Drosophila melanogaster: one gene and its partners. The protein of the gene in region 2 interacts with the protein of the main gene of each other region in a pairwise test. Each region holds a gene or a part of one and is shown on either strand. Other genes may lie near its edges.

Evidence for each region. The genes of interacting proteins can lie anywhere in the genome.
Region 1: the proteins of CG11382 (region 2) and CG3225 interact in a two-hybrid assay, tested with the Drosophila melanogaster proteins (one large-scale study listed by BioGRID).
Region 3: the proteins of CG11382 (region 2) and CG1598 interact in a two-hybrid assay, tested with the Drosophila melanogaster proteins (one large-scale study listed by BioGRID).

What each region holds. Positions count from the first base shown.
Region 1 is NT_033779.5:4,815,113-4,820,169, forward strand, and holds CG3225 (uncharacterized protein), read right to left. Parts: upstream 3,134-5,057; 5' UTR 3,055-3,133; coding exon 2,926-3,054; intron 2,862-2,925; coding exon 2,770-2,861; exon of another isoform or gene 2,704-2,769; coding exon 2,610-2,703; intron 2,552-2,609; coding exon 830-2,551; 3' UTR 804-829; intron 780-803; exon of another isoform or gene 746-779; 3' UTR 671-745; coding exon of another isoform or gene 568-670; 3' UTR 512-567; downstream 1-511. Other genes in the region: CG15629 (uncharacterized protein), read left to right, coding at 1-511, 568-670.
Region 2 is NC_004354.4:1,207,993-1,212,400, reverse strand, and holds CG11382 (uncharacterized protein), read right to left. Parts: upstream 2,432-4,408; 5' UTR 2,305-2,431; coding exon 787-2,304; 3' UTR 548-786; downstream 1-547.
Region 3 is NT_033778.4:7,537,732-7,541,564, forward strand, and holds CG1598 (uncharacterized protein), read right to left. Parts: upstream 1,966-3,833; 5' UTR 1,860-1,965; coding exon 1,747-1,859; intron 1,684-1,746; coding exon 1,566-1,683; intron 1,482-1,565; coding exon 1,041-1,481; intron 982-1,040; coding exon 643-981; 3' UTR 501-642; downstream 1-500. Other genes in the region: Gpo2 (glycerophosphate oxidase 2), read left to right, coding at 1-452. UniProt on the Drosophila melanogaster protein: ATPase required for the post-translational delivery of tail-anchored (TA) proteins to the endoplasmic reticulum. Recognizes and selectively binds the transmembrane domain of TA proteins in the cytosol.

The sequences.
Region 1 (5,057 bases), on a different chromosome or scaffold from region 2:
ACCAGCGTGCCAGCCAGGTGACCGAGGAGGTTGGTCCCGTCGACATATTGATTAACAATGCCGGTATCGTGTGCTGCAAACCCTTCTGGGAGCTGCACGATCGGGTCATCCAGAACACGTACAACATTAACATCATATCGCACTACTGGACCGTGAAAGCGTTTCTGCCTCACATGATGCGCAATAATCGTGGTCATATCGTTACTGTGGGCTCGGTAACTGGAATGCTGGGCACCTACGGATGCAGTGACTACGCGGCCACCAAATACGCCTGCATCGGTTTCCACGAGAGTTTGCTCACCGATCTGAAGGCCCATGGCTATGATCAAATCCAAATGAGTTTGATCTGCCCGTACTACATCAACACGGGCATGTTTTCGGGTGTTCGGCCGCGGATGATGCCCATGCTGGAGCCGCAGTATGTGGCGGATCGCATCGAGAACGCCGTGCGCTGCAACGAGGTGTGGTGCGTGCTGCCCAACTCTATTCGCCTGCTCACTCCTCTCAAATGGTAAGTAGTCTATTTAACATAGTTATATACAATGTAATTAATGCTGGTTTTCTCAGTCTTTTGCCCGCCAAAATGTGCTGGGAGCTGATGTCGCGTGTCATCCGTGGACCCGAGTCTATGATGATGTTTCAGGGACGAGGGCGCGTCGCCGCTGGTTAAACACACAATAGGAATCATCATATGGAATCCATTACCTAAGCTTAAGTTCTTTTTCAAGAGGCGGCATCGTTTCACCTATAATTTTACAATAAACTTAGTTATTTGATTTAATGAACTATTTTAATAGACTTACACCTATCATTAAGGCTTTAGTTCCTGCTAATCCCGCACTGTGGTCTGTTGGTAATAATGCGGCGCCAGCTCCGTCAGCCACTCTCTCTTGATTACGGTCACGTAGTTCATGAACAATTTCGTCGTTTGGAGCAGTTCCCCATAGACCACGTACTGAGCTTGAGGAAGTGTGTAGAGAGTGGAGTTCGGATGAATGGCCAGTTCAGTGCCGCTGCTGATTTGTCTATAAACTCCAGAGTGATGCAGATAGGCCACCTGTGTGAAGAAGCCGGCGGTGATGCACTTGCACAACTTTTCCACATCGCCCTTGCACGAGAAGATTGGAATGCCGTACTTCTTTCTGGCCACTGTGATGAGTTGCTCCCTCAGCGAGTGGGCCCTCTTAAGATTCCTGTAGATGAGGAAGTATTGGCCACAGAACTCCTTGGTCATGCCCTCCTCCACGAAGCCAGTGTAAGCGTTCAACATCGTAATAAAGTCCCCTTCCGCAACTTCGAATTTTCGATGTGCAATGCGTCCACTTTGTTGGGCAACCGCTGAAGCTGGGCGCGAAAATATAGACTGCACCTGCAGCAACGCAATGATGGTTATGATCTCCTCGGAGCAGCCCATCTGACCGGAAACATAGAGCATTTTGGAGAGCATAGCGCTGAAGGGGAGTTCGGCCAACAGGTAACCCACGGGCTTCGTCAGATTGCCCTGCTCATCGATGGCGTCCAAGGCAAATAGACTCTCCAGTGCGGAAAGTAGATTCTGTGCCGGTGGTGGCGATGGGAAATCAAAGCGCAATATGTTCCCGATGCCCAGCGCCTTTAACTGCAAGATAGCGCCGCTCAATTCGCTGCGTCGCATTTCGGGTGGCTGCCGAGGAGCTAGTGCTTCATAGTCTGATTTAGTGTACAAACGATAGACCTTGCCGGGACGCATACGACCCGCTCGTCCTGCTCTCTGGATGGCCGACGCCTTGCTGACGGGCACTATAACCAAACTGTCACTGCAGGTTTTGGGATTGTACCATTTTACCTTGACGTAGCCGCAGTCTATCACATAAACAATGCCCGGAATGGTGATGGAGGTCTCTGCTATATTCGTGGCCAGCACCACTTTGCGGGTTCCTTTGGGCGGGGTAAAGAATACCGACAACTGATCAGTGCTCGACATACTACCATACATGGGCAGCACCTTGAGATTCTCCTGTTCCGAACTGGCGATGTATTCGCGCAGAAGATCCAGCGCCTCCAGGACTTCCTCCTGGCCAGTTAGGAAGGCCAAAATGTCGCCAGGCGGCTCCTTTTGATGCAGTTTCCAGACGGTCTCCACAGTTTCCTTCACATAATCGGCGCAGGGTTCGTTCAGATAGAAATTACTCACAGGATGCATGCGACCTTCAATGCTTAGCTTAACGCTCACTTCGCCCGATCCTGGCCAGCTGAAGAACTCGCTGAAGAAGCTTGCATCTATGGTGGCCGATGAAATGATGAGCTTGAGCGAGCTGCGTTTGCGAAGGATCTTCTTGAGCAGTCCCAAAATCATGTCGGTGAGCATATTCCGCTCGTGCGCCTCGTCCACGATGATAACACCATATTGGGTGAGCAGCGGATCGGCTAGGACTTCCCTCAGCAAGATGCCCTCGGTCATGAACTTGATTTTGGTACAGGAGCTCATGCTTTCCAGGAAGCGAACTACATAGCCCACCGTGTCACCTACCAGTTCGCCGCGTTCCTGTGCCACGCGATTAGCCAGCGTAACCTGGAAATGAAGTCTTTAGTTTTAGATTTTATAGTTGCTTTGCTTTAGGATTACTTACGGTGGAAACGCGTCGTGGTTCGGTGATGCCAATGAGTCCCTTGGTGTGCCAGCCCCATTCATACAAATACTGTGGCACCTGGGTGCTCTTGCCACTGGGAAATATGAAAAACCACAGAGTTAGAAGCATTACTTTGAAGCTCATGGAATTCCATACAAACCTGCCTGTTTCACCCACTAGTATGACCACTTGATGCTTTTCCAAGCAGTAAAGTATTTGATCCCGGTACTGACGAATGGGCAAACGTTCCCTCTGTAATAATTTAAGTTTAATTTGTTATTCTAGCAAATGTTTACGAAATATTTTGTAAGCCCACCTGCTCCATGAGTCCCATATTGTGATTGACATTGAATACAAAGGCGGAGGACTGCTGTTCACCACCGGCACTATCTGTGATTGCATCGTCCGTCTCGGGTTTTAGGAACTTTGGCTTAAAAGTGCTCATTTTCAATTATTTACTTCGTTATAGATTCAGTTTTGAAATTAAATAAACAGCTGATGGACTCAATGCATTGGTGCAAAATACCAAAGCGCGCAAAAGAATGTTAGGAATTTCGTTTAATATAAACTAATGGTCACACTTTTATTTGGCGGGAAATTGCATTGTATTGAAATTTCGATTAACGATAACCATCAACTATATAATAAGTTGAATTGCCCAAAAACCTAAGTATTTACTTAATCACTAAGTATACAGTCGCCTAGTTGAGGTCTATAAGAAAAGAGGATAATCAAATTTCACTATATTTTAGTTAAGATTTAAAAATGCAAAATATTAGTTTTTAGAAATTGTTTGGCTAGTACCTCAAGCTTATACCTTTGGTACCCACAAATTATAATATATTTGATTTAGTCGACCATTTCACGAGCCCCAATGGTGGCAAATGTCCATAACATTCACCTGTATTATTCATGCACATGTTTTTGTCCATTTTGCGGGCACGTTGCAGCACCGACATGTCCCCTATTGCTAGTGAAAATAACTCTAATTGCCAGTGGCAAGGCCACTTTGCTCCTCTGCATACCCAGCAAACTCATTATGTACTATAAGGTCGCCCTGGCCACGTGTGTGTGTCAAAAGTGTCCCCCGAGTTTTGTGCAGCTGTCGGCGACAGAAGCGCCCGGCCAATTGCTTTTGAATAAATATTGTATTGTATCTCTCGAGCAACAAAACACACACATTGTTTTGCCCGCTTGTATTTTTTTTTTTGTATATATTTTGATTTATGCACCGTCAGTGGGTATTATATGCATGCCGCCAATATTGGGACGAGTAAGATGGCCGTCGATTCCACACATGCAGGACCCCCGTATTCTGCATTGACCCTGACATTAAGAACGCTCGCTTTAACTTTAACCCCATCCGATGCGATCCGAACCCAACCACCAATTTCAAGCCAAAGCAAAACACGTGCCCGACATGCACGTTTGACCAACCACATCCGCATGCCAGTGCTGAAACAATGGAGCCCAGCTCCACTCCACTCCACTCGACCCGAGCCCAGCCCCCATGGCGTATGAGTAATCCGAGAAAAGCTAATTAAAGGCCAGCGGCGAACTTCATGCCAAGGACGAGGCGCCAAGTCGCCAAAGCCAAGCGAAAGCCAAAAACTCTGCGAGCAGTTTGTCAACACCGCCGTCCGCGGAAAGTGCTTCAACTAAAAGGCACTGAGAAAAAATGTTTTCACTTTCCACTCAAGCTGATATCAGCATCACAGGTAAAGAGGTATCTTCGCTACATGAGAAAGATTATAGTTTCGAAAAGTGTTAAGAACGATGCTTCAGTATTTAGTACTACATCTTAAATTGCAAATACTAAAATATAATAATTTCCGCTGTGCATATGGATTAGTCATTTCATTTGCCTTCTATCCCACTTAATAGTAGTTAAGTGAATATTTAGTTACATTGCGGGTTATGGGAGGCTGTCACATTTTCGCACAGTGTGTATCTTGTCCGTTTGGCGTCCAGTTCCAGTTTCGGTTGCATATAAATTTTAATAGATGCGCCCAAGGCCAGAGTTTTACTGTCAAACGGCTGTCGGCACTCCACTGCCGGTATCCAAATTCCGATTCCCCCGTCTTTGGGCACCTGACTAAATGCCACAAAACTTAAAGGGCGGCATGAATGCTAACTGTTATTCCGGCTTTTACGAGCAAAGTTTCCTTGGAAATGCCAGTGGAGGGTACGTTCCTTTTGTTCTATCTACGTATTATAACTATAGTTTCGCGTTGACGACCCTGATTACAAACGCCGGAGTTGTGCGTCCTCGACACCCAGCGAGTGGTGCGAAAAGGGGCTGGCGTCATTGTCTTTGCGTGCCGCGAATTTGCGTGATTCATGATGCATGTGGCAGGGCGGCAAAGTCGCAACTCAAATGCAGCACACACAAAGTGCACACGAAAAAAAATGGTGACGCTTAATTGGAAATTAATATGGAAAAGTAAG
Region 2 (4,408 bases):
GGATGAAGTTGAAGTTATGATTAACATGGAAGCAGAGTGAGAGGCGGCGGCCAGTGCGTTGACCATCCATCACGCGGCGGTGAATGGTGCAACTGGGGGATAGGCAAGCGGAACCAGCGGATGGCATCCACTTGATCGCATTTGTGAACACGTTGTGAACACGTTGTGAACTCAAGACGCCTCCTTTTAACTTGTATTCTAATTCAGCAGGTCTAATTCAGTTAGCCTGGGCAGCCCAAGCCCATTCGACTCATTGCCATGCCAGCGTCGTTTTGGAAGCTCCACTCCCTACGCTGCTCCACGCCTCCCACGACAGCCGTCCACTCTTTAGTTTGATATAGTTTCACGCATCAAATGCGAATCACAATTTTTAAGCGAAATCCGAAATCGAACCAATTTGTAACCACAAATCGGAGAGAAACTGCCAAAATCTGCGACGTGTGCGGCATTCCAATAGCCTGGAATCTATCCAGTTGGTAGGGAGGAGCCTCCGCACACGAAGAGAAGTTGAGAAAGTTCCATTTCGCTTTTAAAAAGAAATCATTTTCATTTGGCCTATTAAGTGGCTTCATTTTATTGTAAAACCCATCAGTTTGTACTGCTTAGAACTTTCTTTCCACATAACTATCTCACTTGCAAATACTCTTTCTTCCTTCCTTTTCAAATTGTTTCAACACTGTGACTCTTGATTTCTTGATTTTTATTGTTCCATCTTGGCTTGCAGTACCAAATAGATAGGGATAAAAAAATACATTGGACGCTAGAGCTTAAAACTAGTTTAATAATTTAGTGGTAACCATGGGAGGACGCGGCCGTTGGGCCGTAGCTGCTGGCAGGAGGCAGGTAGGTCGCCTCCGGTTCGAAAATAGGCGTGGCCGAGTCCCCGGAGTGGCCGGGTGGTCCGTATAGTTGCGCCGGAGCCTGGTAGTCATAGCCTGGCGAAGAAGGAGCCTGCAGGAATGTGGAGCTGGGCGTGGCGTAGTCGTAGCCGGAAATGGAATTCGATCCGGACTCGTGCTTGGCCCCTAGAAAGGCACTGGGCCTAAAAGGCGCCTTGGAGACGTCTAGGTCGTGGCTGGGTGCTCCGGACTGGACGGAGTGGTGGGCAGAGCTGAGAACGTCGGTGTGGAGAGCCTGTGGCTTGCTGGCCGTGTAGCTGAAGTGACCCAGGCCCTTGTGGCCCAGAGCATAAACCGGTGTTTCCCTCTCCTGCTCCCGATCGCCCTTGTGCTCCTGCTCCAGCACCTGCACTTGCACTGGCTCCGGCAGTGACTCCTGGTGATCGTAGCCGGGTATGAGTGGTACGCCGTAACTGCTCAACGGCACTCCCTTTCCAAAAGGCGTGGCGGGAGCATCGTAGGAGTACCCAGAATGCTCCTCCGCCGGCTGGGGCAGCGCGTGCTGTGGGAACTGTCCTCCCGAAGAGTGACCCAATCCCAGGGCGTGGCTCAGACCGTGCTCCAAGGCATGCTCCAGACCGTGATCCAAACTTTGGATAGGTCCGTGACTGACTGGTTCATGGGCGATGTGATGGCTGGGGCCATGGCCAAAGTTGTTGCCATAGCCGTGACTTTGCAGGTGGCCACCGTAGCTGGGTCTGTGGGCTGGTGCCGATCCGTAGCCAATTCCGTGGGTGCTGCCCCTCGCTCCGTGGCTGTGTCCGGAGTACTCGGGAGTGGCCACCACATATGTGCTGGTCTTGTGTTCATTCCCAACGAGATTCAGATAGGCTCCACTGGTAGATGGTGCGTACTTAAAGGCCAATCCAGATCCATGCCCGTGACTCAGGCCGTGACTGATTCCATGACTGATCCCGTGACCGATTCCATGTCCATGTCCCTGACCATGGTAGTTGTGACCGGAACTCGAGCCGCCACTTGTTTGAACGATGTAGGTTTCGATTTTAGGAACTCCACTACCGCTGTAATGATGGGGCCTTCCATGGCCACTGGAACTGGCGTAGCCGTGGCTTCCGGAGTGTCCGTGTGCGAAGTGGTGTCCGTAACTGCTCTCGCCCTTGAAGTGACTGGGGTAATCGGAATAACCAGCCGAGCTTCCATGGAAACTGCCGAGGTTAAGGTGACTCTCATAGGCGGGCGGCAGATATTTGTGAGAAGGGCCGTGATAGCTGGATATTCCTCCGAAACTTAGGCCAGCATCTCTTTTTGGCTTAGCGGAGGATGAGGTCTCAGCCGAAGATGAAGCGGGCTTTGAAGAAGAAGCATCGGCAGCTGGAGAAGATGAGGCGGCTGCCAACAAAAAGAAGCAGCAGCTTAGCACAGCGCAAGCTAACGGTAGTTTCATGCTCAAGTCACAGCAAAAATCACGGAAAAAAAAGTGAATTTAACGGTTATCCTTCGATCGTGTTATCGGTTATCCTTGTTCCTCACGTTGGATCCGGAGTATAGAACGAGACGAGACGCGACTCTAATCGCTGCCGTTGGCGTTATGTTGACGAACTCTGTGAGTGCCGACCCTTTTATACATTTTAAAGAAGCCACTTCAAACTGCAAGAAACTCGGTTTTTGCCTTTGCCTCTTGCCATGCTGCTCTCTTGGCATTCTCTTTTTGTCGCTCTCACGCTCACGCACGCGAAAAACAACGGTATTTCGTGTGTGACGCCGACTCCGACTGCGCTGCAGCCTTTCTTCATTCCCTCACTCTTAGTTTCGTTTGCGCACAGTGGGTTAAATTCACGTGTGCATAAATATTCAATGGTGTGACCTAGCTCCTTAAAAATACATACGACTTGAACAAATGTATACAAAATAGATTTTCTTGATAACGCTATACATTTAATTGTCTTTTAGATTCGAAAAATAAAGAATTTAAAACATTAATATTTAAAACTATATTACAGCATTATTCGAATTAAAAAACGATTTAGATTTCCAAGTCATAAAACTGTTACGGTTGCACATTCACTGTTCTCAATGTTCTCAAACTGTAACGACATCCTTGCTCTCTCTCTCGCGCGAAGCTGTCGCTTTGGTTAGTTTGATTTGCGATCAGCGTGTGCAACTTACATATATTGTATGGGCTCCGGGAAATGTGTGCCAGGGATAAAAGCATTTACTTAAACTAAACAAGGAACACGTTTGTACAAGTTGTGGCTGAAATAGTGATATTTACGAATTCATAATTTTGTTGCGACTTGCGGAATATAACGGCTCTCTAGCGATCGCTTTGGTTCATCTGAAATATAGATAACTACGCATTTGCAACTTGCTCAAGGCTTGTGGATTATAACGGTTCTCGCGTCGGCTTCGGTTTCCCCCGCGCCCCGCGTTTCATGAAGCAGGCAGATGAAACGAAAGGCGTAAAAGGAGAGTGCAAGTTACCACCTAGTGATGGAAAAGGGTCCACGGTTTGTGGAAAGAAGTGGGCATCGTCTGTGGATCCTGGGCAAAACAAAGTGAGTGAGTTTTTGATTGATACTTACAGTTTTTGTACATACGTATGTACAATATATTCGATATAAAGATCAGTATTATATTATAATATTATATATCCTTATATTATAAGCCTGTTTGGACTTCAATTTTCAATAGCATTTTTACCCACTGTGCGAGTGTTACCACTCAAGTTCAAGTGACACTTTTAAAAATCACATGTCTGCTTACCACGCCCCTTGCCATCTTGCCATTTTGGCCCTGTTGTGTTCATGTTTCTTCTCACTTCCTCCTCCTCAGCTGGCTCACTTACATTTCCCCAAAAACAGCTTAGTTTGTGCGTAAATTGCATTTAATTTACAACAACCCGTATCTTTCTCCTCTGGTATCCCTTCTTCCTCTTCTTGGGTCTCTCTTGTGCACCCTACTTCGCCTCGTAATTGTTGCTGTTTTCCCAGGTGCGCGATTTTTTTTTCGAAATTCGAAAAGCGATTTGTTTTGCTACCGTTCGGGATCTTAATTTGGGTCTCTGCCGCAGATGATGATGATTTGGCAATAGTTTGAGGTATGTTAGTGCCCCTTTGACCCCGACCCCTCTCTACGGCACCGGTAACCCATGGCTACTAATGGACTTGGCCCGAAACCTTTGCGATATATCTGCATGCAGCCCACGACCATGGAAGATAAATGATGTGCACCTTGCCGGTCTTGCTTGTGTTGTCGTCAGACGGCCTTCAAGGGCAGTTCTTCATCACAGTGGAATTTAAGCCCATACATGTCGAGATTAGTAACTAAGAACTTGGCATTTGGACATGCAAATCTATGACAGAACAAGCTGATTCCAATTTCGGAATTGGTGTACATACAAATATTACCATGAAAAAATTGAGAGAATCCTCCTATTAGAGGACTCATTTGAATGTAATGGTAATGGTAGTGAACACATTGTATACAAGGTATCCTTCCGGGCTTTCGACTGGTCTGGTAGGCGTGGTTAGTTGCTGCCGGTACTCCTC
Region 3 (3,833 bases), on a different chromosome or scaffold from region 2:
ACTGGTCGCGAGATCAAATTAAAAAGCAGATCCGCCAGACGCGAACTTTTCTTAACTCCCAGATGGGCCAGCTGACCAAGGAGAGCGCTTCGCAGATGAGCATTCCCATTAAGATGAGCGTGCGCCAAGTGCGCAAGTTTGCCGGGCAGTTCAGGCAAATGGATGATAACAATACGGGGTACGTGTCGATTGCAGACTGCTGCAAGGCAATGAAAACGATGGGCGTAAAGGAGGTGCCCGTCGACCTGATGCACGATGTCCTGCGGGACATTGATGTCCATGCCCAGGGCAAGGTGAACCTGTATGAGTTCCTTCTGCTCATGTCGGCTATTGTGCAGGGCAACACCGAGTACCTGCGGTACGCACGGCTGTATCTGGACCACAAAAGGCAGATGCAAGGCAGCAACTTTCCCACCGTAATGCAAATGGAGCGTGCCGGGGGCGGTCTTTGAAAGTATCATTCGTTGTAACCCTCTCCAGTTTGGAATACTGCATCCGTTAAGCGTTGTCTACGCATTACACGTCGAAGCAGATCCCTTCGGGGATCGCTGCCTCAACTTTAATTTATTTTACGCACTTTCTGTTCACACAAACTAAGGAAGAAACTTACAAACGGATGGGTAAAGGGTTGGACGGGCTATCCTATTCCTTGGGCTCGCCCTTGGGGTTGTAGGGCTTCATAAGGTTCTCGGAGAAAGAACGGATGCTCTCTGGACCGCGCACCTCTTTCTCGAGGAGCGGCAACTTGGTTACGTGGAAGTCTTCATACAGGTCGGCAATCTGGTCCAGGTACTTCTCCTGAATCTTGAAGCGGGAGGCGCACATGCTGCACGAGTCGTGCGAGTTCTGCAGAAACAGCAGTTGGTTTACAATGATGTTGTGGACGTCGATGCCGCACTTGGTTAGCTCTTGCACAAGTCGTTCCGTCTCGTACAGCGAGAAGAACTCTGCTATGCACACGCAGACGAATGTAGTTTGATCCTGCCGAAGGACGAATGCGGATTAGGCGTTGTACGAGCTAAATACATGTTTCTACGTACTGGGTTCTTGAACTGCTCGTTGACCTGGGTGATAACGCGCAGCATGTCGTCCAGCTTCTGGGAGAGTGTGTCAGCGTTCACATCAGCCATGCCCAGCATGGAGACGAACTGTGACAGCAGGGGCGCCACCTTCATCTTGAGCCGCAGCAGCTTGCCCAGCCCCTTCTCCACCACCTGGGGAAATGCAATCAGACGCAGCGTGTGTCCCGTGGGCGCCGTGTCGAAGACGACTACCGAGAAGTTCATGCCCTTGACCAGCTTCATAACCTCTGCATAGCTCATCGCCTCGTCGATGCCGGGCAGGGCGTTGATCATCTCCTGCATGACGCCCTTGCTCACGCGCAGCGCCTCATTTTCGCCATCGAAGTACTCCTCGGGCAGCTCGTTGAGACCGGCATTTGGATCGATTTCCATGGCGAACAGGTTGTCAAAGCCATTTACCTGGTTGCGGAAAAGGAATTGCGATGTGCTTTAGTTTAGCTTATACAATGGTAAATGACTTCATTTCCGGATTCTTCCACCAACCTTTGTCGGCACCTTGGTGAACTTCTGATCGAATGCATCCGATATGTTGTGCGCCGGATCTGTGGATATGATTAGCACGGATTCGCGCACTTTCGACAGCTGAACGGCTAGGCTAGAACTATGTTTAACACGAAGATTAATTAGATCAACCGAGAAAGTTGGCTTGTTGTTGTTGTTTTACCTGCAAGTCGTCTTGCCCACGCCGCCTTTTCCGCCCACGAAGATCCACTTGAGGGAGTCCTGCTCGACGAGATTCTGCAGGCTGGGCTCCAGGGGCTCCAAATTGTCGGCCATAATGCCCACTAAAGCGAGACACGTATGAAATTAGTTGAAATTAATAATTGCTTATAAGCAATGAATATGACTTCTGGCGTGCAGAGTGACCGTTTTTAGTATGCATACGTATAAGTTGATAGGCACTAAAATCAGCTGATCACGAAGCACTGCCAGGGATGGATGCTCATTTGGCGCCAAAGGAAAATTATTTGAAAATAAAATTTTGCAAATCTCAATAAACTTGACAAAAGTGAGAACAAAACTGCCAGCGGTGTGAAACTAACATAAGTTTCAACTAATTGTTGTTGTTATAACAATAGCAAAAAAATATTCTCAAATCTGTTGCTGCGTACATGCTCAAAGCTCCGCCGCTTTTATCGTGCCTATTAAATGCACAAAGCGCGCTCGCAGCCCAAGAAAATCACAATAAGTGCCGCGGATGCTTGACCCGTCCCCGTGTTCCCCGCGCCCGCTCTACCCATCACTGTTAATTGTGCAAATCGCGAGCTTATCAAAACCCAAGTGTCGGCGAGAAAATGCGAGCAGCAAGGGAGCACAAACCCAAGTGGCTATGGACTACTAAAAATAGTTGTGAAAACACCTTCGCCGTTGGGCGTCCGCGTTAAATAGCTTCGATTTTTGGTATCTTCGTGTCATTATGGGCTTCACCCCAAAACCACATCGATTTCCGTCCATTGCCGCCTAGTTTTGTCGTTTACTGAACTCGGCGTATATAGAGTTATTTCAACTTATCACAGAATACGGAAGCTGCGCTGTAAAATAATACTTATTCCAAGAGCTAGACCATTTTTGAGTGACTCTGTGGATGTTATTGTGAGTGGATTGCAAACATTGGATAAAACTTATTGAAAATAACATTTGATTTGCACTTAAATCAGATATATTTAGACGATCATTTTAACGGGGATTATTAAATTAATAAACGACAAAGGTATGTACTCAAATAAAAGAAATTGTTTGTTTTCATAAAACTGCTTCCATGCATGTATACTGATAGTGGATAAATACAGTTTTAATATAGTTTTAAAAATGTATAGTATTTAAACAAAAATTAGATGGAAGGGATATATATATATATATATATATTTAATGGGCCATTGGTTTGGACGATATTACATCAAAAAAATATACAAGATGAATGTAATATTTGAACAAAACCCTTTTTATCTTTTTTTTTGCAATTATAAATATACATATATGTATATCTAATAGTTGAGACAGTTGACTATATTTTTTTCTGTTGATTTATTTAAAAAAACTGATAACTGTGAACCTTAAAGTTAAACTTTAACACTTAATTTCTGTTCTGCGCTGTGCCCACTTGTGTGGGCCTGAATACGTAAGAAAGTTTATCATACTCCTCGATATTGAATGCGAAAAATGTTATCAAAGTTGATGAGAAAGTTTTCCTATCGCCTGTTTAAGCAGCTAAATTAAAAACAGATCAATTAACGTTAAAATCACACACGCTTGACAATTTGTTGATATTAACTTATCGCCAAGCTGAAAATATATTGTACAACCAAAAATATTTTTTTATTTTGATACAGAACGGCTTATTGAAAACCCATTTATGGCTGTTAAAAGTTGAACTGAAAAAATTGAGAACAAATCGCTTGGTGAAAAAACAAGAGTGTTTTTGCCTCATATGCGTGTAAATCCGTTTTATGCGACTGAAACGATTCAATCATTCTGGCAGTGCTTTTTAAAATAAAGCGATAAAGTTGGCTGGATGATTTATTTATTTGCCCAGCCCTGGGCTTTCGAGATCCGCTTTTTGTCTGTGCGTGCGTGCGTTTGTTGGCCCATGAAATATGAGCGCATTAAATTTTATTATATTGTTTGGGCCATTCTCGGCTTTGGTCCAAAGCACACACTCGCACTCTCGCACACACAGCCACAGGCGCAAGGACAGCAAACAAGCGGAAAGTTCAAAGTCAAACAATAACACTTTCCATAAACAAAAAACCC